Oryctolagus cuniculus: one gene and its partners. The protein of the gene in region 1 interacts with the protein of each later gene in a biochemical or structural test. Links are inferred from orthologs where the notes say so. Each region holds a gene or a part of one and is shown in the gene's direction. Other genes may lie near its edges.

Region 1 (2,997 bases):
TTTACAAACGGAGAGCAGCCATGGCCCTGAACCACATCCCCTTTATCAACAGGCCAATCGCTCAGTTCCCCTACACAGAAGAATTTCATAGAGCCTTTCCCACCTCTTCACCTCTGTCCTTTCCTTGACCCCCTGCTGTCGAGGCACCAGCACAGGTCTCCACTGGCCCTGCCCTTGTTACTGACCAGCAGCCTCCACGTCGCCGTCCCTCTCATCCCCTCAACGTGCGTGTGTCCCAGGCAACCGCTCCCTGCTCCCCCAGGGAGAGTCCCCGGTCCTCCACTCCTGGCCTCTCCACAGCCCTCCCTACTGCTCTGCACAGAACCCTGGGTGGCCACGTGTGTTAGAAGCACTGCCATCCGACCAGGAAGGAGACACAAATCTGAGAAGTAACCGTCAGCACCGCTCCCAGTCCAGTCCACTCACGTCTTGCCTAGATCCCCGAGACAGCTCCCAGTCAGTCCCTTTGCTTCCTCTCTGTCCACCTCCCATCCACAACAGATGATGCCGTCCACGTGTGAAATCGGTGAGATCTGTTTCTCCTGTTGTCTCCTCTCCATTCATCCACTCAGCGAATCGTCACCAAGCACACATTTAAGGTGGAGAAACACTGTCCCTGCTTGAGCCGTTTACTCTTTCCAGCTGCACTGACAAGCTCTTCCCTCCTCCCCTTCCACCGAGGCCTTCTCTCTGCTTCCTAGGGCCTAGAGCCCTTCTCTCCCGCTTCCCGGAAAGCGCCTCACCTGGGTGGTTCCTGCTGGCCAGCAGTGTTGCCCTGCGAGGGGGGCTTGCCTAGGGGACTAAGGACGGATGTCCTTGTGCCCACTAGGAGAACCACCCAGATCTCCTGCCTTATGACCCAGTGCTCCTTCTACAGAAAAATTCAAAGAAAAAAATAAGAATTAATCCCTTAATTTGCAGTTAGTTTTAAAATAAGTTCCTAGAACATAGATCAAATAAAGTCTGGTTGATTGGATAAATTAATACCAACACAATAGTCATCAGCTGCCATTGAAGCCCTAGTATTCTAATATCTATTATTTTCATTGGTCACATCCCTAAGAGTACTTCTCAGAAAGGAGAACTCAACCTAGTTTTCCAGAATGGACTCATTTTCATCAAAATGCCCTTTTTTTTTTTTTTTTGCCACCAAAACTGTTTTGAGACAGTATATACTGTTGAAAAGCCTAAGCAGCTCACAGATTTTTCATTTTTAGCTGCTACTTTGTTCATTTATTTTGCCTAGGTTCAGCAGTTTCCCCAAGTATAAAATAGGTGATACAGTGGTTGGAAAAATACATCTGATTTCTAAGAAAGCAGGTGCATTTTGAGTCAAGAGAATTCAGAAAGGATTCTGGTAAACACAGGCTAGATTGCAAGAGAAAGATGTGAAAACATTCGGCTGGCACTCGCGGCTGCAGGTTTTACGTGAGACGGCATCTGCCACCCCCCCACACACACACCACCGGGACCGGCGGCAGTGAGCAGGCCGTGTAGGTGGGACACACCGACTGCTGGAAGCCAGCAGATGAGTCGTCCCTGGGCCTCTTAGAGGCCAGCTCACAACCCAGCTGGACGGTAAGGCTGTGAGAGCAGAGGCTGTTCCCCCGTCAGTCTGTGCTTTCTCCCCACAGATGAGCTGCCAGACAGCGACAGCGTCTGTGACAGCGGCGTGGAGACGTCATTCCGCAGACTCAGCTTCACGGAGTCCCTCCCCAGCAGCGGCTCGATGCTAACTCTTCACAAAATGCCCCACGAGTACGGGCAAGAAGGACCTCTCGAAGGCAAAATCTAGCCTCCCAGCAGTGTCCCACAGCGTGTAAACCAAAGCCCTGAATTCCACTGTATTGCCCACCGGAAGGAAGGTAAAGTGCGTCCCAAGGTGCTTGGAGGAGGACCGGCCTACCTGAATCATTGTCGATTTAATTCCAGGCCCCTGGCTGGACTGCCTTTCTTGGTTCGTAATGGATTTTAGTTTGGCTCCCTTGCAGGTAGTGTAGCGATCACAGCACTCGGCTGCGCTGACGCGTCGTTGGGGGGGAGGTAGCTTCTTGAGCTTTCAAAGCTGCTCCTGGATTACGGCTGCTTCCTGTTGTCGTTGCTGCTGTCCCTCTGCTGCGTTCCCACTGTCATTTAGAGCTGTCACTGTCCCCACCCAGTGTTCCTGCTGGCCGTCCGTGGCACATTTGTGCGTTCAGATTAAGGGTGAAGAAAAGGGATATTCTATAAGGAGAGTCACTTGGTGTGCAATAAAAAAACAAAACAAAACAAAAAAAACATTGCTTTTTCTAACGTGGTTATCTCCGTGATTTGAAAACAACATGTACTTATCGATATTTAAACACAGTTACAATCATTGCTGAAAATTTCTCCACCATTTTCTGCATTTTGCTATTGTAAATATGTTTTTTAGATCAAATACTTTAAAGAAAAAAATGTTGGATTTATAAATGCTATTTTTTATTTTACTTTTATAATAAAAGGAAAAGCAAATTGATGATCTCACCTTGTTTGATCTCTGCCAGTACTTTCCTAAGATGATTCCTTGTAATCATGGGATCACTCCATAGCCTGATTATTATATTCCGATTCCCCTTTTGAGTCATTTTTTTTTATCTAGCAATGAACAAAACATTTACCAAAAGACAAATGTTTTAAGCTAAGATGCAAGCCTTCGGTTGTCAAATCCCAGCCTGGCCCATCTCATGTAGACCGTGTCATCTCTCACAACACCAGACCTCTTCACCGTCTTCTCCTTTGCCTCTGCCACACATCTTCTGAAATTCCAGTGTACTAGAAGGCCCTGGACAAGCAAGAAGCTTTGCTAAACCCTCTTCACTCAGAGGTGGAAAAAGAGAAAAGAAACGGTTTCAGATGAGGTGCTCTGGTGAACACTGCACTGGTTAACCAAGTTCCCACTCTAACAAGGATTTGCTGGTCTGCCGCCGGGGCTCCTTCCAGAATTCCTCCATTGCTGAGAGCTACCTGCCCTCGGCC
Region 2 (2,820 bases), on another chromosome or scaffold:
ACCTCTTCCAGCATGGCGGGCGGGAACTGGATATCTACAACAACCTGCGGCAGGTGGGCCTGGGCCCCGGGGCTCAGGCAGGAGCCTCCGGAGGGCGGGGGCGGGGCCTGCACCCCGGAGCCTGGCGGGGGGGGGGGAGGGGCGGCGGGGCCCTGGCTCCGGCGTCTGGAAGAGGGGGCGCCCCAGGTTTCCGCTCCTGGGGTGCAGGCTGCGGCGCGGCGCCCTCACCCTGTCTGTTCTCCAGACTCCGCTGCACCTGGCTGTGATCACCACGCTGCCGCCCGTGGTCCGGCTGCTGGTGGTGGCAGGGGCCAGCCCCATGGCGCTGGACCGCCACGGCCAGACGGCGGCTCACCTGGCGTGCGAGCACCGCAGCCCGGCCTGCCTGCGGGCCCTGCTGGACAGCGCGGCCCCGGGCACGGTGGACCTGGAGGCCCGCAATTACGACGGTGAGTGCCCACCGCGGGGGGCAGAGTCGGGCTGTCCGGCCGGGCCTGGCCCCACGCCCCGGTGTGACTGAGCCTCGCCTCCCCCAGGGCTCACGGCCCTGCACGTGGCCGTGAACACCGAGTGCCACGAAGCCGTGCTGCTCTTGCTGGAGCGCGGCGCGGACATCGACGCGGTGGTGAGCATGCGCGGGGGGCGGGGCCTGGCCCGGCGGGGGCGGGTCCGGGGGCGGGGCGAGCCGGGGAGTGCGCCCGGGTGGGCGGGACTTGAGGCATCGCCTGGGAAGGAGACGCTGGACGGGGCGCCCGGGAGGCGCGCCGCCGAGAGACCCCAAACCCTTCCCTCCTCGCCGCAGGATATAAAGAGCGGCCGCTCGCCGCTCATCCACGCTGTGGAAAACAACAGCCTTAGCATGGTGCAGCTGCTGCTGCAGGTGCGTTCGCCCCCCTCCGGCCTGGCCTCTCCCCCACCCCCTCTCTGATCCCAACCCCACCATCCCCATGGCCCTCTGACCCCGCTCTCCGGCCTTGGGCGGGTCCGGCGCTGTCCTTCCACTCGACCCCACCCGCAACCCGGCCCCTACGAGCTCGAGTGGAGTTGGCCGGGCCAGGGTGGCCGTGGCCCGCTGTGGGTTCTCATTTCCACCTACCCAGGACCCCCCCCCCATATGCTCGGGTCCCAAGACCTGGCCAACGAGCGTGGGGGGGGCAGACTCTATCGCCCGCGAGGGCCCGCTCCTGACTGCGCGTCCCCGCCCGCAGCACGGCGCCAACGTGAACGCGCAGATGTACTCGGGCAGCTCGGCTCTGCACTCGGCGTCGGGCCGCGGGCTCCTCCCGCTCGTGCGCACGCTGGTCCGCAGCGGCGCCGACAGCGGGCTGAAGAACTGCCACAATGACACGCCGCTCATGGTGGCGCGCAGCCGCCGGGTGAGTGCGCGCGCCTGCGGGGCCGGTGCCCGCCCTGCGCCCCACCGAGACGACACGGAGGCCCTCCGCGGGCAGGAGTCCGTGCGCCCTGAGCCAGGAGACGGGCACCCCGTGGTGACCCTCCCGTCTGCCCCCAGGTCATTGACATCTTGCGGGGGAAGGCCACCCGGGCCGCGTCCGCGGCGCAGCGAGAGCCGTCCCCGGACCGCAGTGCCACCACGTCCCCTGAGGGCAGCAGCCGCCTGAGCTCCAACGGTGAGCCTCCAGCGCCCCCTCCCGCCGCCGCGGCACCCAGGTCCGGGCCCGGCCCTCCCCTCCGGCCTGGTGTCTCACGGCCTCTCCGGCTCTCTCCGCGCAGGTCTCCTCTCGGCATCACCGACCTCCTCGCCCTCCCAGTCTCCCTCCAAGGACGCCCCGGGATTCCCTCTGCCTCCCCCCAACTTCTTCCTCCCCCCGCCGTCTCCACCCGCCTTCCTGCCCTTTCCTGGGGTTCTGCGGGGTCCTGGCCGGCCGGTGCCCCCCTCCCCAGCCCCCGGAGGCAGCTGAGACCGATGGGGGGGCAGATCTTGGACTCAGGAGGACTCAACGACCCGCCCCCCCGCAGCACAGGGGTCGACCCTTCCGGAAACTGTGAAGATCTCACTCTGCCCCCCCCCCCCAATCTTTGGGACCAGGATTTTGCACCAAGGCACAGGCACCTACCCACAGGCCCTTCTGTGCACAGAGACCCTCACCTCGCCCACCCGGGACTCGGCCCTGCCGCTCCTGGGCTGCAGCCGCCCCGTCTGGGTCTGGGATCCCACCCAGCTAGGCGTCCCGTGGAGAGCCAGGGGCCGGCTCTGTACCGGGCCGAAGGAGGAGGGCCGAGGGGGGCACTGACCACTCTGTAAATTATTAGGCATTTTGGTTGGATTTCTTTTGTAATAAACTATTTTTGTACCATATCCCTTGCTCGGCTGGAAGAAGCGTGCACGCGTGTGGGGGGGGTGTGCACGTGTGTGTGGGTGCGCACGCGTGTGTGGGTGCACCTGTCTGCTGTATGCAGCTGACTCCGTGAGCTGCTGTGTTCGTCTCAGCCTGAGCACCGCTCACCACTGTGTGTGACATCGTGGTTCAGCTGCGAAGGTTGCCATGGTGACGTCACTGTGCCGTTAGGACCTGGTGTGTGTGTGTGTGTGTCTGTGTGTCTGTGTGAGACATCTGCCCAGGGGCCCTGCTGGATTCCATGGTGTCCCTGGGTGTGCTTTGGGGGATCCGGCAGTGTGTGGGTCCCGGGGTAACCCTCAACCGACCACAGTTCTGATGGCCTGCGAGTGTCCCTAACACTGCCACCCGCAGTCGTCCCGTGGCGATTTGTATGTATCATCTGCACTGCATGGTGTGTCTTTTATTTTTCACATTTACCTGGGAAACAGCTCCCATCGACTGGTTCACAGTGAACAAA
Region 3 (3,500 bases), on another chromosome or scaffold:
CTCCCACTTCCCACTTCTCCCTGGAAGCTGGCTCTGACCTTGTGAGACTCTAGACCCTGGGGCCACGGTGTTCTCGGCCCCAAGGGCCCTCCTCCCTGCCCACCCTGTGGAATTTAGATTTTTGCGCCTGTAGCCAAGAAGAGTTCTCTTCTCAAACTTTGTCGGTGTCAGCGTCACCTGGACTTGCCAATTCAGACTGTGGGTCCCCCAGGGTGTCTGAGGCAGTAGGATGCTGCTGGCCCACCTGCTGCTCTCGACTGTGGTTGGCCGCCTCCTGGACGCCAGGCTGAGAGCCTTTTCTTTGCATGGAAAATCCAGATTCCGGTGGCTCTGCCAGTGTAGCCTGGTCACCCCCCCCCCCTCCCCAGCTCCACTGAGAGTTTGTACACTAAGGCTGCGGCCCACTTCAGGGGCACAGGACGCTCCGATGGAGAGCGCGTTTCTGGCTTACTGAGAATTCACTCCCTCTGCGCCCTCGTAGCCTCTGCGCTTAGATACCTCCATGAGAACAGAATCATCCACCGAGATCTGAAGCCGGAGAACATTGTTCTGCAGCAAGGAGAGCAAAGAGTGAGTGGCCTCCCAGCACAGGGGAGTGGGCAGTGCTCGGGGCAGCTGCCCGTGGGAAAGGAGCAGCTCTGTACGCCTGTTTATATTTGCATTTCCTCGCCTGGTGGCTTTGCTTCTCTGGGGATCAGAATTCAGCAACAAGTCCTTGCTTGCAGATGGAGGCCAGTTTGAATGGCTCCCATTGTTAATTGCCCACGTTGCAGGAATCCGATAAGAACCTAATGTTTGTTGCCTCCACCCCCAGCCTTTGGGACCAGTGCTTCTCAGAAGCAGGCTGCGTTTGTTATGAGGGCCTCCACTTTGGTTGCTAGTGTACAAAGCGGCTACACTAGCTGCTTCCAAGCGTGGCTGGGAAGGGGCATCGAGAGCTGGGGCACCTGTTCCTCCAGCCTGGTCCAGTTCGCAGTCCCCCAGAGCTGTGAGTGAGCTGATCAACGACCACCCTGCTTAGGTGGGGTGAGGGGTAGAGGTTGGTGTGCTCAGCCGAGGGGCCGTGGTCCCTTGGCTCCTAGGACACCTGATCCCTTCAGACACATGGCCTTCCCAGGCCCAGCCTCTGACAGCCACAGGCTCCCCTTTGTTCAGCGCTCGCTCACGTTGCTGGCGATGCTAAGATGTGACAGCTGGGGAGTGTCGGGAAGGGGCTGACCCGGGCTCTGGGTCTGAGGTCTGGTGCACGGTGCGTCCATCTGACCAGCGGCCGAGCCAGGAGAACATGAGCCGTACAAGGGCGCCCTCCTGTGTGTGGTGGCTCTTAGGGATTCAGGATCTCATCCCACCTGGGAATTTAGAAATGACGTAGCTCTAAGGGCAGGCGACCAGAACCCTTGTAGAAGGACAGTGTCGCCTCCTAACCCTCAGGTTTTCCCTCCTCCCTTTCCTTTTCAGTTAATACACAAAATCATTGACCTGGGATACGCCAAGGAACTGGATCAGGGCAGCCTTTGTACCTCCTTTGTGGGGACCCTGCAGTACCTGGTAAGAAGTGGCATCTACGTTTGCCTCTCAGCTTCTCTCTGGTGGCCATGGTGGTGGGGCAGCCCCGTGCTGCCGGCTCTGTGTGGTCTCCGGTGTGAGGTCCAGCCTGTCACCAGTTCACGTCAGCCTGTTGTGCCCCCAGAGGCCCTGCGGAAGGATGTGGTCCTTGTCTCTGCTGCCGGAGGGCGTGGCTGGCTCCCTTACCCAGGCCCCATAACCTCGCCGGCCTCAGTGTTTTGTCTGAGGATAAAGAGCATGCAGTAGACGCGTGCTGGCGTGGAGACCGCGGTCTCTGTGAGGAGTCTCACGCATCGAGGAGCAGGCAGAGCTGTGCGCTCCACGCCCTCTGCATACTCCAGCCTAAATGTCGGGGTTCTGCCTGAGTCCCTCATTCCTCCGGGACACCAGCCTCGGCGGTTTGTGTAGCAGGCACTTGAAAGGCGCTCGACTGGCTGACCTCAGTCATCCTATCACTGAAGCCTGCCGACTGGGTGCCAGGCTTCTCTGTGACCCGGTTCCCAGCGTGCTGACGTGTGTGGGGCTGACTCAGGCACCTGGGTGCCCAGGACGAGTAGTTAAGTAGGGCCCGCTGAGCACTGCCCAGGCTCAGAGCTGAGGGACAGACCCCAGCGCTCTGACCCGCTGCTGAGTCACCACTCACCTGCGGGATTATTTGTAGATAATCAGATTGACCCGAACATCCCCACATTTCTTACTGGGACTCCTTGTTCTTCCTCCAGTGTCACAGTTCCCGCCAGCCTGTGCACAGGCCTGTCCCCATGCCTTTGCTATGACGGCCCTTTCCGGAACGGCCCCTCCCATCCGCTCGTGTGAAGAGCTTTCTGAGCCCAGCTTTGTGGCCCGTCCTGGTGCCCCACGCCCACCCCCCGCTCCCTCGCTTTGGCAGCAGTCCCTGCCAGAGTGTAACCACCCCGCCCTGTTGTGTGGTCAGGTGTTAACTCGGTTCAGGGTGTTTGGTGGTCATTCAGTGTGTGCGTCGTGTATCTGGTGCGGACGATGCATGTCCTGGCAAGTGCTGGTCATCGGGCACCTGCGATGCGTTGCCGGACGACTGGTGCGGATGGCGTGAGTGCTGAGTGTCTCTGGCGCCTATGAGGCGTATGCGTGCCAGCCATCTGGTGCGCTCTGTGTGTGTTGTGTGCCTGCTGTGTATGATGCGCGCGCTGGGCGTCTGGCGCTTACGACACGTGTGCCGTGTGTCTTCTGCTGCTGTTCTCCTTGCTTCCGTGTAGCCCACCCTCCCGTCTACAAACCACCTGCAGCTGTGGCCCGTCCCGAGCCGCTGCTCAGGAGTTCCCGTGTGTAAAGGGGGGAGCTGAAAGCACGGTGGGCGGGTAGGAGGTACCTTGACCCACCTCAGAATTGCCCCTGCCCTTAGCCCTTCTGTCTGCATTACTGGGAGCGAATGAGGCACGCTTGGGTGGTCACCTGCCGCCGGATAGGCCGGGGCACTGAGATGGTGGGTGATGGGAGCCCTGCCCGGCGCCGTGTCTGTCGCTGTAGGCCCCGGAACTGCTGGAGCAGCAGAAGTACACGGTGACCGTGGACTACTGGAGCTTCGGCACCTTGGCCTTCGAGTGCATCACCGGCTTCAGACCCTTCCTTCCCAACTGGCAGCCTGTGCAGTGGTGAGTGACGGCCGGCCACTTTGTGCCTTCTCCTCCCCAGGCACTTTGGGCTCGAGCCTGGAGACTTCTGCTGATGAATTTTCCTAGGATAGAGCGCTTTAAGAGAGGAGATTAAGATATGAACCTGAAAATTCTAAAACACGTTCTCTAATAAAGTCGGAGGACACAATTAAACTTTCTTGAAAGAGATTTATTTATCAGGGCTGGTGCTATTGCTCAGCGGGTTAAAGCCCCAGCCTGCAGTGCCAGCATCCCATATTGGCACTGGTTTGAATCCTGGCTGCTCCACTTCCCATCCAGCTT
Region 4 (3,500 bases), on another chromosome or scaffold:
TTCTTAGGCATGGGTTCCAGGCCCTAGTTGCTCTGGATTCTCACACGAATATGTTTTTATTTTAGTTATAATTATTTTGCCTCGAAGTTTCTTCTTCTGTAAAAATTGAGATGTGCAGATGCTCTGCATTTTACGACGGGGCCGTGTCCTAACAGGCCCATTGTAACTGGAGCATGTCTCAAGGCAAAAACACATTCAGTCCACCGGACCTACTGGACATCAGAGCTTGGCCACACGCACACAGTAGGTGTGCTCTGTGTCTCTGTAGGACCGTGGAAGCCAATGGGGGTTGCACTTGCTGCCACTGCCCAGGAAAAGACCCCAGCCCACGAATCAAAGCACAGCTGGTGCTGAAGCCCGTGGCTTCTGCCCCATCGTAAATAGGAGAAATCCTTGTGTCGAGCCATCGGTAAACCAGAGACTCCCTGTACACTTTATTGGCAGTGAAATGCACAGATCTGCAGTGTAGGTGGATGAGTTTGGACAAACGCGCCTGCTCTGGGAACCCACAATGCTTTTTTAGTTTCCAAGCCCACTTGCTTGGAGACCCTTGGTTCTAGACGTTTCCTCTTGGAGGTCAGGGGTCACTGATCTCCCTCCATAGCTCGTGACTGTATCTTGAGCAGGAAACGCGGGGCTTGGCACCCAGTATGCGTGCGAACAGTAAGAAGTGAGTAAGTGGATGAGGAGTAATGCTGCCCCCACGTCATGTCTGTGGCATTGGCAGCTCGTAAGTCTGGCCCGACACGTTGCCGTCCCAAACCCTCCGTGATCGCCAGTTAATTTCCATGCTGTTTCTGTGCGCACCGTGGAGTAGTAACAGCCATGCCAGCAAACAGGTTCGCGTACTCAGACAGGGGCGCGTCCATGCACAGGCACGGTTTGTGGCTCTGCAGTCTTTATTCTAAGCCGTTTGATGACACGAGTCATGCTGCTTTACATAAACAATGCGTTGGAGGCTCTGTTTGGCAACTCATTGCTCACCGGGCCTGACCGGGGATATGTGTCTGTTTCATGCTTTCTCTGTCTTGCTCAAGTTCTAAATATAGTCTCTGCCTAGCGAGGCTGGCACGCTGCCCCGTGAACTGCAAACACCATCCAGCACTTCCAGCTTATCTCCGGCCGCTTATCTACAGCAAGGCCTGCTCCGCCCGCAATCCTCACTCCTGCCCCTCCTTCTGCCCCAGGTCATCACCCCCCAGAACGGCCGGTACCAGATCGACTCTGACGTGCTCCTTGTCCCCTGGAAGCTGACTTACAGGAACATCGGCTCTGATTTCATTCCTCGCGGGGCCTTCGGCAAAGTGTACCTCGCCCAGGATATCAAGACGAAGAAGAGAATGGCGTGTAAACTGGTGCGTGCTTTCTCAGCGGGAGCTCCCCGGGCGTGTTCGCCTTTCTGGCTTCAGCGGGTTCATTTGCAGGCATCGGAAGTTCCGACCCTTTGAGGGGATCCTGCTTTCCAAGGGTGCTCTGCCCAGCACATTTCTTTTTAAGGATTTATTTGTTTATTTGAAAGTCAAAGGGGGAGACACAGAAAGAGAGAGAGAGAGAGAGATATCTTGCATCTATTAGTTCGCTTCTTAGATGGCCACAATGACCAGGTCTGAGCCAGGCCAAACCCAGGAGCCAGGAGCTTCATCCAGGTCTCCCATCTGGGTGCAGGGGCCATCTTCGCTGTTTGTCCTAAGCATGTTACCAGGGAGCTGGATCGGAAGTGGAGCAGCCGGGACTCCAACCTGCTCTCACATGGGATGATGGCGTCGCCAGGTGATGGCTTTACCGGCTGTGCCCTGAGATACGTTTGTGTTTCTGGATTTCCTAGGGGGACATTCAGCCCTCAGATGTCTGCTTTGGTGCGCTGTGGAATTCTATCTGGTTAGAGGAAAGCGCCCCAGCTTGGATGACGTCTTTGCCTTTGAGTGGAGGGGGGCCGAGGCTCGGTGTTCACACCTGCACCCCAAGAGTAGCTTCATTCTTCCTCCCCTGTAGGGAGGGGGCCCGGGCAGAGGAGCAGAAGCTGGGGTAACAGAAAGCTACTCGGGACTGTGGATTGAAAGGGCTGAGTCGAAAACCAGCGGTGACTAAGAACTCACCTGTCCTGATTAGACAGTAGCACCTGGGGTGCTGCCACATTGCAGCTCTTGGGCAGCTCACCCCCCCTCCCGTGCTGGGTGCTCACGCACCCTGTGACCCAACAGTTCCAGGTCTGTAGGTACACTCGGCAGGGCGTGGCCCGTGCGCTCATGCTCACCACAAGCTGAAAGCTGGGCGCTAGGCTGTTCAGGTCGGCACTGTTAGCTGGGTGTCCCAAGCTGGAAACTTCCCAGGTGTTTATACAGTGGAACACTGGGCGGCAACGAGAATCCACGCGTGACAACCATAATATCCGTGAGTCTCAGGACCGTGGTGTTGAGCCAGACCCAAAGGCAGATCTGCCTGGTGACATTCCGTTTATATAAGAGAAATAGGAAAGACAGGTCGGGAGAGAAGAGACTGGACTTCTAACGAAGAATTAATTGAAGTGCACTCGCTTTTCAGTTACAAAAAATAGAATAAAGGAGTGGATGTTTGGCCTAGGTGTTAAGGCACAGCCAGGACACCCATGTCCCCTATCAGAGTGCCTGGGTTCCATACCCAGGGCCAGCTCACACTCCAGCTTCTCGCTTATGGAGACCCTGGGAGGCAATGGGGATGGCTCAAGTCAGTGGGTTCTTGCCCCCGACGCCCGTGACCTGGATCGAGTCCCCAGCTCCCAGCCAGCCCTGGCTGTCGCAGGCATTTGGAAAATGAACCAGGAAACTCACCAGCTCGCTCGCTCTCTCTCTCTCTCTCTCTCTCTCTCTCTGGCTGTCGTGGGCATTTGGAAAATGAACCAGGAAACTCACCGGCTAGCTCGCTCTCTCTCTGTACTGCTCAAATAATTTTAAAGATAATAATGATTGCTGAATGTTACGTCCCAGTCCTTGTTACCGTCATTAAATGAGCTTAGCACTTTGGCAGGGGTATCTGAACGTAGAAGACTTGTAGCCAGCGGGTTGAAGCTTGCGTTGAGAGGGGTTTGTGTTTAAGGTGCGCTGAGAAAGGTCTGCAGATTTTTCAAGATGTTAGAACTGCTGAGTCGTTTCTCAGCAAGTCACAAAAAGCATGGGAAAATAGTTGTGTGGGTGGTTTTCCTTACAGTACTAACATTTAATTTTGAAACTGTCCTTGTCTTAAGACTGAAACACACAGAGATAATCAAAAACCCCCCAAAAGCCTCAAAAGAAGTGTTACCTGAAGCCTAAAACCCCTATGCTCTGAGCCGATTGCTCTTGGTGGGTTCTTAGTATATTCTTCGTGGGAACGTCTGTGCAGATAGGAACGGACAGGCTAAACATTTCACATAAATGGGAAATTAAGGTACGCACTTGGGCATCTCACTACCTTTTTAGCTAGCACCGTGTTTCGGAGACAGGTCCAAAGCTGGTTACACCTAAAGAACTGCTTTCTTGCTGACA
Region 5 (4,030 bases), on another chromosome or scaffold:
ACACATACAGAGAAATGCACAGGTCTCGTGTTGCCGGTTACAAAGAGAACAGGGGGGATGTATAACAGTCCTCGCCCCCCAGTGCCAGCTCCTGTCCCCTCTCCTGCCCTCTCGCGATAATGAGTCTGTTGTGTAACTTGACGTAAATGAGCCCGTACAGTGTGTTCTCGTGCATCTGGCCTCTCTGGATCGATATTAAGTGCTGGAGATTCGTTCGTGATGTGGTAATCCCTCGTTCTCATAGAGGGAGGGGCTTGCTGGATCATAGGGCAGGTGCACTCGGATGCTTAGTGCTGGCGAACTTTCGCAAACTATGCATTCAATTTTACTTGAAAGGCGGAGAGGGGGAGGACAGAGAGACAGAGATCTTCCATCGCTGGTTCACGTCCCGGGTGCCGGCCACAGCCCGGGCTGGCAAGCAGCAGCCCAGGACCCAGGCCAGATCTGCCCTGTGGGTGGCAGGGACCCAAGCGAGCTCTTCTAACCTCCTAGGGTGCAGGAGGTTAGCATGGGGAGCTCTGACCCCCGGGGCCCCGCAGTCCTCTGGGTAACAGGATCGTGCCGGCTTCCCTTCCACACTGCGACACCACTCAAACTCAGGTGCGGTGCAGGGTAAGCAACGGCCAGTTCCTCTCGACTCCGACCAGGCAGGCACCGTCCTGAATCGCAGGGACGGAAGACACGGCCTCACTCGGAAATGCTAACACGTGGGGGCAGGCCCCAGGCGCATCTTGGAACTGGCGCTGCGAGGGGCAAGGACGAAGCCTGGGGCGCTGGGCCGGGGGCGCCTGAGCGCGGGAGGCGGCCGGGGCAGGGTCTGGAAAAGCAGGGACCGATCAAGAAGCCCACCAGGACACAGAGCAGGTCTCTCAGTCTGCTGGGGTCGACCCTGGGCGACTCCGTCGGGAGCTGATTCCAGGGCTCCGCTGGGGCCCGAGTCGCCATTCAGCCGGGTGGAGGAGAGACCCGGCCGCCAGCTAGCACCGAGGCTGCCCGCGCTTAGGGGGCCGGAGGTGCGGCGCGCCCCTCTCACCTCCCGCCGCCCGCACCGCACCGCACCGCACCGCACCGCACCCGTGCGGTAAAAGCGTTAACCGAAGCCACAAAGGTCGGCGAGGAGCCAGGATACGTCCAGCCCGTCTCTGGGCCTCCCGGCTTCCGCCAGCCTCTGCCGTCTCGGTCCTGCACCGGCCCGAGCGCTCCCTCGCTGCGCTAAACCCGAAGGCCGGGCGCCCCCCGCCCAGAGGCCCGGAGCTCCTCGCTCCCCGGCGCGCACAGGCGGCGCGTGCGCAGAGACAGGGCGCGCGCGCGGCGGCGCGGTGGGCGGGGCACCGGCGCTCGCGAGCAGCCACGGCGCGTGCGCACAGGGACGCGGCACCCGGGGCCCCGCCGCGGCGCCGGCGCCTGCGCGCTGCGGGCTCCGGGCCCTCCCGGCCTGAGGGAGAGGAGCAGGGAAGATGGCGGCGGTGGTGGAGAATGTAGTGAAGCTGTGAGTGGTCGTTTCTTTCTCTCCCAGGCGGAGAGGTCTTGTGAGGGGCCTGGGAGTAGGGGGCGGTGCGGGAAGAGAGGAGGCGGCCGGGGGGACGGGCCCGGGAAGGCCGTGGTTGCCGCTCCGGGTGGGGAGTGCGACGCGGGGGGGGGGAGGACTCCGGAGAAGACGTTGCGCCTCTTTGGAAACTTGTGGAGGCCCTGGGCGGGGGGCACGCGGGAGCCCCTGCCCCGCGGCCGCTGTGCGGGGCTGTGTGGGAGCCGCCGCGGGGCCTGCAGGTCGCGGAGTGCGGCGCTCAGGCTGCGGCCCGGAGGAGCCGAGCCCAGGCCCCGGGGGGCCCCGGCGAGTCCCCGCCACGCGCGGCCGTTGGCCCGGAGCAGCAGGCTCGGCGGTCCCTGCGGGGCTGGGGTAGCAGGTGCGCAGGACGCAGGCAGCGCGGAGAAGAAGGGAGAGAAGTTGAGGGGGAGCGGGGCCCGAGCGGGCCAGGCCGGGGGGCGTCCTCCGGGCGACCCGGAGCCGTCGTGCGGGTCAGGGGTCGGGCAGAGCTAAATTGGGTGGTGGTCGGGGACCTGGGGGATGCTGCGGGACTTGGTGACACGAGCCAGCCGCCTGCCCCCCGAGGAAGAGTCCGGTGCGTTGGGAAGCGGGCTGGTGCCCGTGGGCGAGCCTGGGGTGGCCTTGTCGCCGCCGCGCGGACGCGTCTGGCCGTCCAGTTAGGGCTTTTTGGATTCTGGCTGGACGCCAAGGTCAGGTGCGGGGCGTGCTCTCTGGACCCCGCGTCTCCTCTTTGTGGTGGCCGAGCAGGTCGCCTCCCCCTGCCCGCGGCGCTTTCCCCGGTTCCATTAAGCTAAGTGCCTTCTCCCTGGCTTGTGGTTTGGTTTTTTTTTTCCTGACTTGCTTCTTGCTCTGTCCTGCTGCCCCTGGGAGCCAGCCCCCCGCCCGACGCGGTGGTTTCTGCGATCTGCCCACGCCGGTTCCCCAGCTCTGGGCTGGCGTTTCCCTCCCTCTGATGCCTTCCTGACTCGCGGGCTCTTTGTTTGCCCGCCGTGCTCTTTGTTGACCCCCCCCCCCCCGGGAGGGCCCACCTAGGCTCGGTTCCTGAAGCTTCTACCTGGGAAGCCTGTGCTGCGGCCTTGCCGGGTTCTGAGGGGGAGGATGCCCTTGGCCTTGGCAGCTCGGCTTCGCCCGCCGTCTGAGCCAGGGGGTCGGCCGCGTAGCTGCAGCCTGGCTTTTCAGGTCTCGGAAGAACCGGAGGGATTGTGAAGGTCATCAGCCGCCGACTCCGGGTGCCGACAGCGAGACCCCAGCTTCTCTGGGGGCCGGGACTGCTGCAGGCTTCCCTAGGAGGCTTCGCGCCCCTGCACCGAGATGCAGTCCCTGAGCCCCCGTCAAGGTCAGGGCCGCCCGCAGCTCGTCGGGGAGAGGGTGTTCTCTTTGTGAGTGCTCTGTCTCTACCGTGGTAGCAGAGTGGACGCCCCCTCTCGGGTCTCGCTGTGAGAGTACGGTGGTGCAAAACAGTGGTTTGGGAACTCTCTGAGTCAGGTACCAGAGCTGCAGGATAATTTACGTGAGATATCTTGCTACACGGCCTTGCGTTCCTAAGACCGATCTCTCGCTCTCCTCGTCAGATGCTTCCCACAGTGCCCACTGCGGTGTCCTTCCCAGCCCCGTTACCCCAAGACTGCCGCTTGCCCCGCTTCTGAAGTCCCCTAGGGTCCCCAGAGCTCGACAGAGCGTCTCACGCATCCCCGAGCCCTGCGGCCCGCGGACCCTTCTGTTCCCAGCGTCAGCGTCAGTCGCATCAGCAGAAACAGCCGCTGCACTGAGCCTTGTTTGTCCAGTTTCCTCTGCGTGGGGAGGACGTGGCTGCCTCCTCACGGCCAGCGATGGGAGCCAGCCCCGCTCAGGTCTCCAGCGCAGGGTCCTTGCCTGCATCCAGGCGGACTGTGCTTGGGCGATGCCGTCCCGCGATTGCCTGCTGGGGATGAGGGACGCTCCACTGTGCCGCTCACCGAAAGCCCCCATCCGATTGCAGAGCAGGGTTTGTTGGTGTAGCGCCAGAGGTGGGCATGAGCCCGGGAGACGTAGCGCGTGCAGCTCCTCACGCCCGGGGTTGCCTGCTCGTGGGTCCCTGGGATGTCAGAGCTCAGCGAGTGCAAGCTCCCGAAAATGCGGAAGAGACACTGAGGTCCATGCAGGGTTCGTGCAGGTTGACTAAGTGTCCGTGTTCGCGTGCTGACTTGGAGCCCGGCAAGGCCGTTTTATTCCCAAGTCCGGATTGACGGTGTTGCAGATGTTTTCATGGGTATTAGGGAGACTGGGGAGAGAAGTCACCTGTGCCCTCACTTTAAGAGGGATATATTGGCCGGCGCCGCGGCTCACTAGGCTAATCCTCTGCCTTGCGGTGCCGGCATACCGGGTTCTAGTCCTGGTCGGGGCGCCGGATTTTGTCCCGGTTGCCCCGCTTCCAGGCCAGCTCTCTGCTGTGGCCCGGGAGTGCAGTGGAGGATGGCCCAAGTGCTTGGGCCCTGCACCCCATGG
Region 6 (3,500 bases), on another chromosome or scaffold:
TTTCTTTAATGTATTATAGTTGAAGCTTCTTGTCATAATGGGGATGAAACAATTGAAACTATTGAGGCTGCTGAGGCACTCCTAAATATGGATTCTCCTGGCCCTATGCTGGATGAAAAACGAATAAGTAAGTAGTTAACGATTGTTCTTGTTTTGCAGAGTTATTCTTGCCATCTCTCTCTGTTAGTAAATATAAAAAGACCAGAGACCATATTTTAGATTTTAAGGTATAGTACTCGTAAAGGAACATTTGTTAGAGTGTTCAGTTAAAGACTTTTAATTTAAGGGATGAATACTTCAGGAATAAAAAAATATTAGTTATCAAATAGTAGGTTTTGCAGGTTTGCTGTCTAAATAAGATCATGGGTGAAAGTATCAGTGTGTTTAGGTCCTAATCTCTTGTTTAGTTCTCTCTGTAGATACTTATCAATAAATAAACAAAAACACCATTGGAAATTTCATTAATACTTCATGACCTAAAATTCACTGCCACATCATTGATCTGCTTTTAAATCCATGTTCTCCTTTAATTTTAAAGATAGTTACTTATGGTCTTTATTTTTTGCTTTTGCAATTATTTACCTGAGAGTGACAGCAAAATGTTCTGGAAGCAGTGAGTACTCTAGTTGGTGACATCTGAGACAGTACTCTAGTGGAGGAAGTGTCTTGACTTGGATTGTAAATTACAAGCTTTTAATAGGTAGAGGAGACAGGAAAGGGCATTCAAACTAGAGGGAACATGTTGAGCCCGAGACACAAATGTCTCAAAAAGATGAAATAGTTGAGCAAAGAAATGTTTTTGTTCAGCTGAAGTGGAAGCTTCCTGGTGGATGGGAGATGAGATGGAAAGACAGGCTTGGTTTAGATTATGAAAGCTTTGAAAAACTTGGTTTGGAGTTTTTGGCTTGTTTTTATCCCTGGTAATCTATGGGAAGATGTGTGGATTTTATTGTTAAGATTTTCAGGTGTAAGGTTTTTGTATAAAGGAATATTATGAACAGATCAGACACAGGACTCAGAGCAGCAGTACGAAGAACGAGAGGAGATAGACAAGTTAGACTGGAGCTAGAAAGTAAATAAGAAAGATAATGAAATAGTCCTCTCCAGTCTGGACTGATTTAGGTACTTGATTTAGGGCAGAAGAAATAAAAGCAAGGAGTTGATTTCAAGATTTTATTTCTACTTTAGTCTTCATAGAAACAGGAACTTATTTCATGAAATTATTTTGGTTTGTAATGCACCATAGATTATAATTAGTTGATCTTATTTCCCCTAGATAATAATATATTTAGTTCATCTGAAGATGACATTGTTGTTGCCCCAGTCACCCATGTATCCGTCACATTAGATGGGATTCCTGAAGTGATGGAAACTCAGCAGGTGCATGAGACATATGCAGACTCACCAGGAGCCTCATCACCAGAACAACCTAAGAGAAAGAAAGGTGGGTAGTTTATCTGTTTAGGGCATACAGTCAAACCTTGATGTTGTAATCTAATATCATATTTTTTCAAGGATCAGTTTTTTAAGATTTATTTTATTCATTTGAATGGCAAAGTTAGAGAGGGAGAGAGAGATCTTTCATTCCCTGCTTTACTCCCCAAAAGGTTACAACGGCCAGGGCTGGGCCAGACTAAAGGCAGGAGCCAGGAGCTTCTTCTGGGTCTCCCACGGGTATGCAGGGGCTCAAGCACTTGGGCCATCTTCTGCTGCTTTCTCTGCTTATCAGGGAGCTTGATCAGAAGTGGAGCAGCTGGGATTGGGACCAGCACCCATTTGGGATGCAGGCATCACAGGTGGTGGGTTTACCCACTATGCCACAATGCCAACCCCATTAAGGATCAATTCTACACCAGTTAAAATGTATTTAAGAAAAAAATTGAGGGTACAACACATACATTAAGAGGCAGTTTTTCATATTAGAGTCATTCTTTTAAAATGCTTATTTTCAGCTACTTGAAAGGCAGAGCAACAGAGTGAGAAAAAGAGATCTTCCATTCACTGGTTCACTACCCAAGTACCCACAAAGGCAGGGCTGGGCAGGCCAAAGCCAGGAGTCAATAACTCCATCCAGGTCTTCTATATGGGTAGCAGGGGCCCATGTACTTCAGCTGTCTTCTGCTGCTTCCCAGGATGTATTGGCTGGAAACAAAGTAGCTGTGACCTGAACGGGCGCTCCCATATGGGATGTTGAAGGCATCTGAAGTGTAGACTTCACCCACTGCACCACAACACCTACAAAGAATGATTTTATCTATTTGAAATATTTGGTATATCTCACAGGAAACAAGTTAAAAAACAAAAACAAAAACAAAAACAAAAAAAACAAAAAAAACAAACAAAAAAAAACTAGGCCCAGAAAGAACTTAGGGGTAAGGGCAGATGAGCTCCCTCCCAAAAGGCATAGTTTGAAAGTCACCAGTCTGTGCCAGTGATTCTAATGGAAGATTTCAATGAATTAAAAGTTAACAGGTAGGAAATTGAAGAGGAAAATGTTGCAGTGTGTTGCCTGGGAATTTTTAAGTTTCCACAAATTTTCATTGTATTGATGATTCTGTTCCTGCTTGTTTGATATTTTGAGTTTAGTCCTTGTTCATTACAGCACCAACCACCAGTAACCTAAGTTTACATGAAAGTAAGAGAAATTCCAAGAGTCAAAAATGAAGAAGAAAGTGAAAATAGTGTGAGCCGACCTTGCAGCAGCTCTGAAGGGTTGAGAAGGATTTGCTAACAAATTGTTGCCCATGAAGAGGCAAAAGTGGAGGTCTTAGACTTATTTAAGATGGTTTATTGGGTAGAGATCACAGCATCTAACTGGAACCCTTGAAGTACTATAATTTCAAGGGTGAAAAATTCTACCAGTTGACACAGACAGATGTACTGGAAGTTTGTATTTCTCAGCAAGGGTTCTGAGTAGAGAAACTAATTCTTCCTTTGAGAATTCAGTAATCCTAGACTTCAACATTTGAGGAATTCCTAGCCAAGAAATTAGCATAAGAATAGTCCAAGGGTAATAATGACTTTGGTGCAACAGGTACAAGCTTTTGGTTTTTTTTTTTGTTGTTGTTGGACAGGCAGAGTGGACAGTGAGAGAAGGAGAGGGAGACAGAGAGAAAGGTCGAGAAAGGTCTTCCTTTTCTGTTGGTTCAACCCCCAGTGGCCGCTGTGACTGGCGCGCTGTGGCTGGTGCACCACGCTAATCCGAAAGCAGGAGCCAGGTGCTTCTCCTGGTCTCCCATGTGGGTGCAGGGCCCAAGCACTTGGGCCATCCTCCACTGCCTTCCCGGGCCAGAGAGCTGGACTGGAAGAGGGGCAACCGGGACAGAATCCGGTGCCCTGAACAGGACTAGAATCCTGGGTGCTGGCGCCGCAGGCAGAGGATTAGCCTGTTGAGCCGCGGCACTGGCCATGGTACAAGCTCTTGTAAAACTACGCTGGTGATTTATATATTCACCTAGGCTGCATGGAGTTTCCTCAGATAAAGTGCTATTGAAGGTTTC

Evidence for each region.
Region 2: the proteins of NFKB1 (region 1) and BCL3 form a complex in vitro, tested with the Homo sapiens proteins (2 studies listed by BioGRID). The link is inferred for Oryctolagus cuniculus from reciprocal best matches to the Homo sapiens genes NFKB1 and BCL3.
Region 3: of the proteins of NFKB1 (region 1) and IKBKB, one has a biochemical effect on the other in vitro, tested with the Homo sapiens proteins (4 studies listed by BioGRID and IntAct). The link is inferred for Oryctolagus cuniculus from reciprocal best matches to the Homo sapiens genes NFKB1 and IKBKB.
Region 4: the proteins of NFKB1 (region 1) and MAP3K8 form a complex in vitro, tested with the Homo sapiens proteins (2 studies listed by BioGRID and IntAct, with this or other methods). The link is inferred for Oryctolagus cuniculus from reciprocal best matches to the Homo sapiens genes NFKB1 and MAP3K8.
Region 5: the proteins of NFKB1 (region 1) and DPF2 form a complex in vitro, tested with the Homo sapiens proteins (2 studies listed by BioGRID). The link is inferred for Oryctolagus cuniculus from reciprocal best matches to the Homo sapiens genes NFKB1 and DPF2.
Region 6: the proteins of NFKB1 (region 1) and ELF1 form a complex in vitro, tested with the Homo sapiens proteins (2 studies listed by BioGRID). The link is inferred for Oryctolagus cuniculus from reciprocal best matches to the Homo sapiens genes NFKB1 and ELF1.

What each region holds. Positions count from the first base shown.
Region 1 is NC_091439.1:62,585,312-62,588,308, reverse strand, and holds the end of NFKB1 (nuclear factor NF-kappa-B p105 subunit), read left to right. Parts: intron 1-1,634; coding exon 1,635-1,795; 3' UTR 1,796-2,497; downstream 2,498-2,997.
Region 2 is NC_091449.1:11,841,759-11,844,578, reverse strand, and holds the end of BCL3 (B-cell lymphoma 3 protein), read left to right. Parts: coding exon 1-53; intron 54-244; coding exon 245-449; intron 450-536; coding exon 537-625; intron 626-802; coding exon 803-880; intron 881-1,208; coding exon 1,209-1,376; intron 1,377-1,513; coding exon 1,514-1,631; intron 1,632-1,734; coding exon 1,735-1,922; 3' UTR 1,923-2,320; downstream 2,321-2,820. UniProt on the Homo sapiens protein: Contributes to the regulation of transcriptional activation of NF-kappa-B target genes. In the cytoplasm, inhibits the nuclear translocation of the NF-kappa-B p50 subunit.
Region 3 is NC_091433.1:92,496,149-92,499,648, forward strand, and holds part of IKBKB (inhibitor of nuclear factor kappa-B kinase subunit beta), read left to right. Parts: intron 1-481; coding exon 482-570; intron 571-1,458; coding exon 1,459-1,548; intron 1,549-3,072; coding exon 3,073-3,197; intron 3,198-3,500.
Region 4 is NC_091444.1:100,801,581-100,805,080, reverse strand, and holds part of MAP3K8 (mitogen-activated protein kinase kinase kinase 8), read left to right. Parts: intron 1-1,187; coding exon 1,188-1,355; intron 1,356-3,500.
Region 5 is NC_091432.1:6,292,617-6,296,646, reverse strand, and holds the start of DPF2 (zinc finger protein ubi-d4), read left to right. Parts: upstream 1-1,230; 5' UTR 1,231-1,457; coding exon of another isoform or gene 1,458-1,489; intron 1,490-4,030. UniProt on the Homo sapiens protein: Plays an active role in transcriptional regulation by binding modified histones H3 and H4. Is a negative regulator of myeloid differentiation of hematopoietic progenitor cells. Might also have a role in the development and maturation of lymphoid cells.
Region 6 is NC_091440.1:60,213,364-60,216,863, reverse strand, and holds part of ELF1 (ETS-related transcription factor Elf-1), read left to right. Parts: intron 1-19; coding exon 20-127; intron 128-1,276; coding exon 1,277-1,444; intron 1,445-1,464; exon of another isoform or gene 1,465-3,500.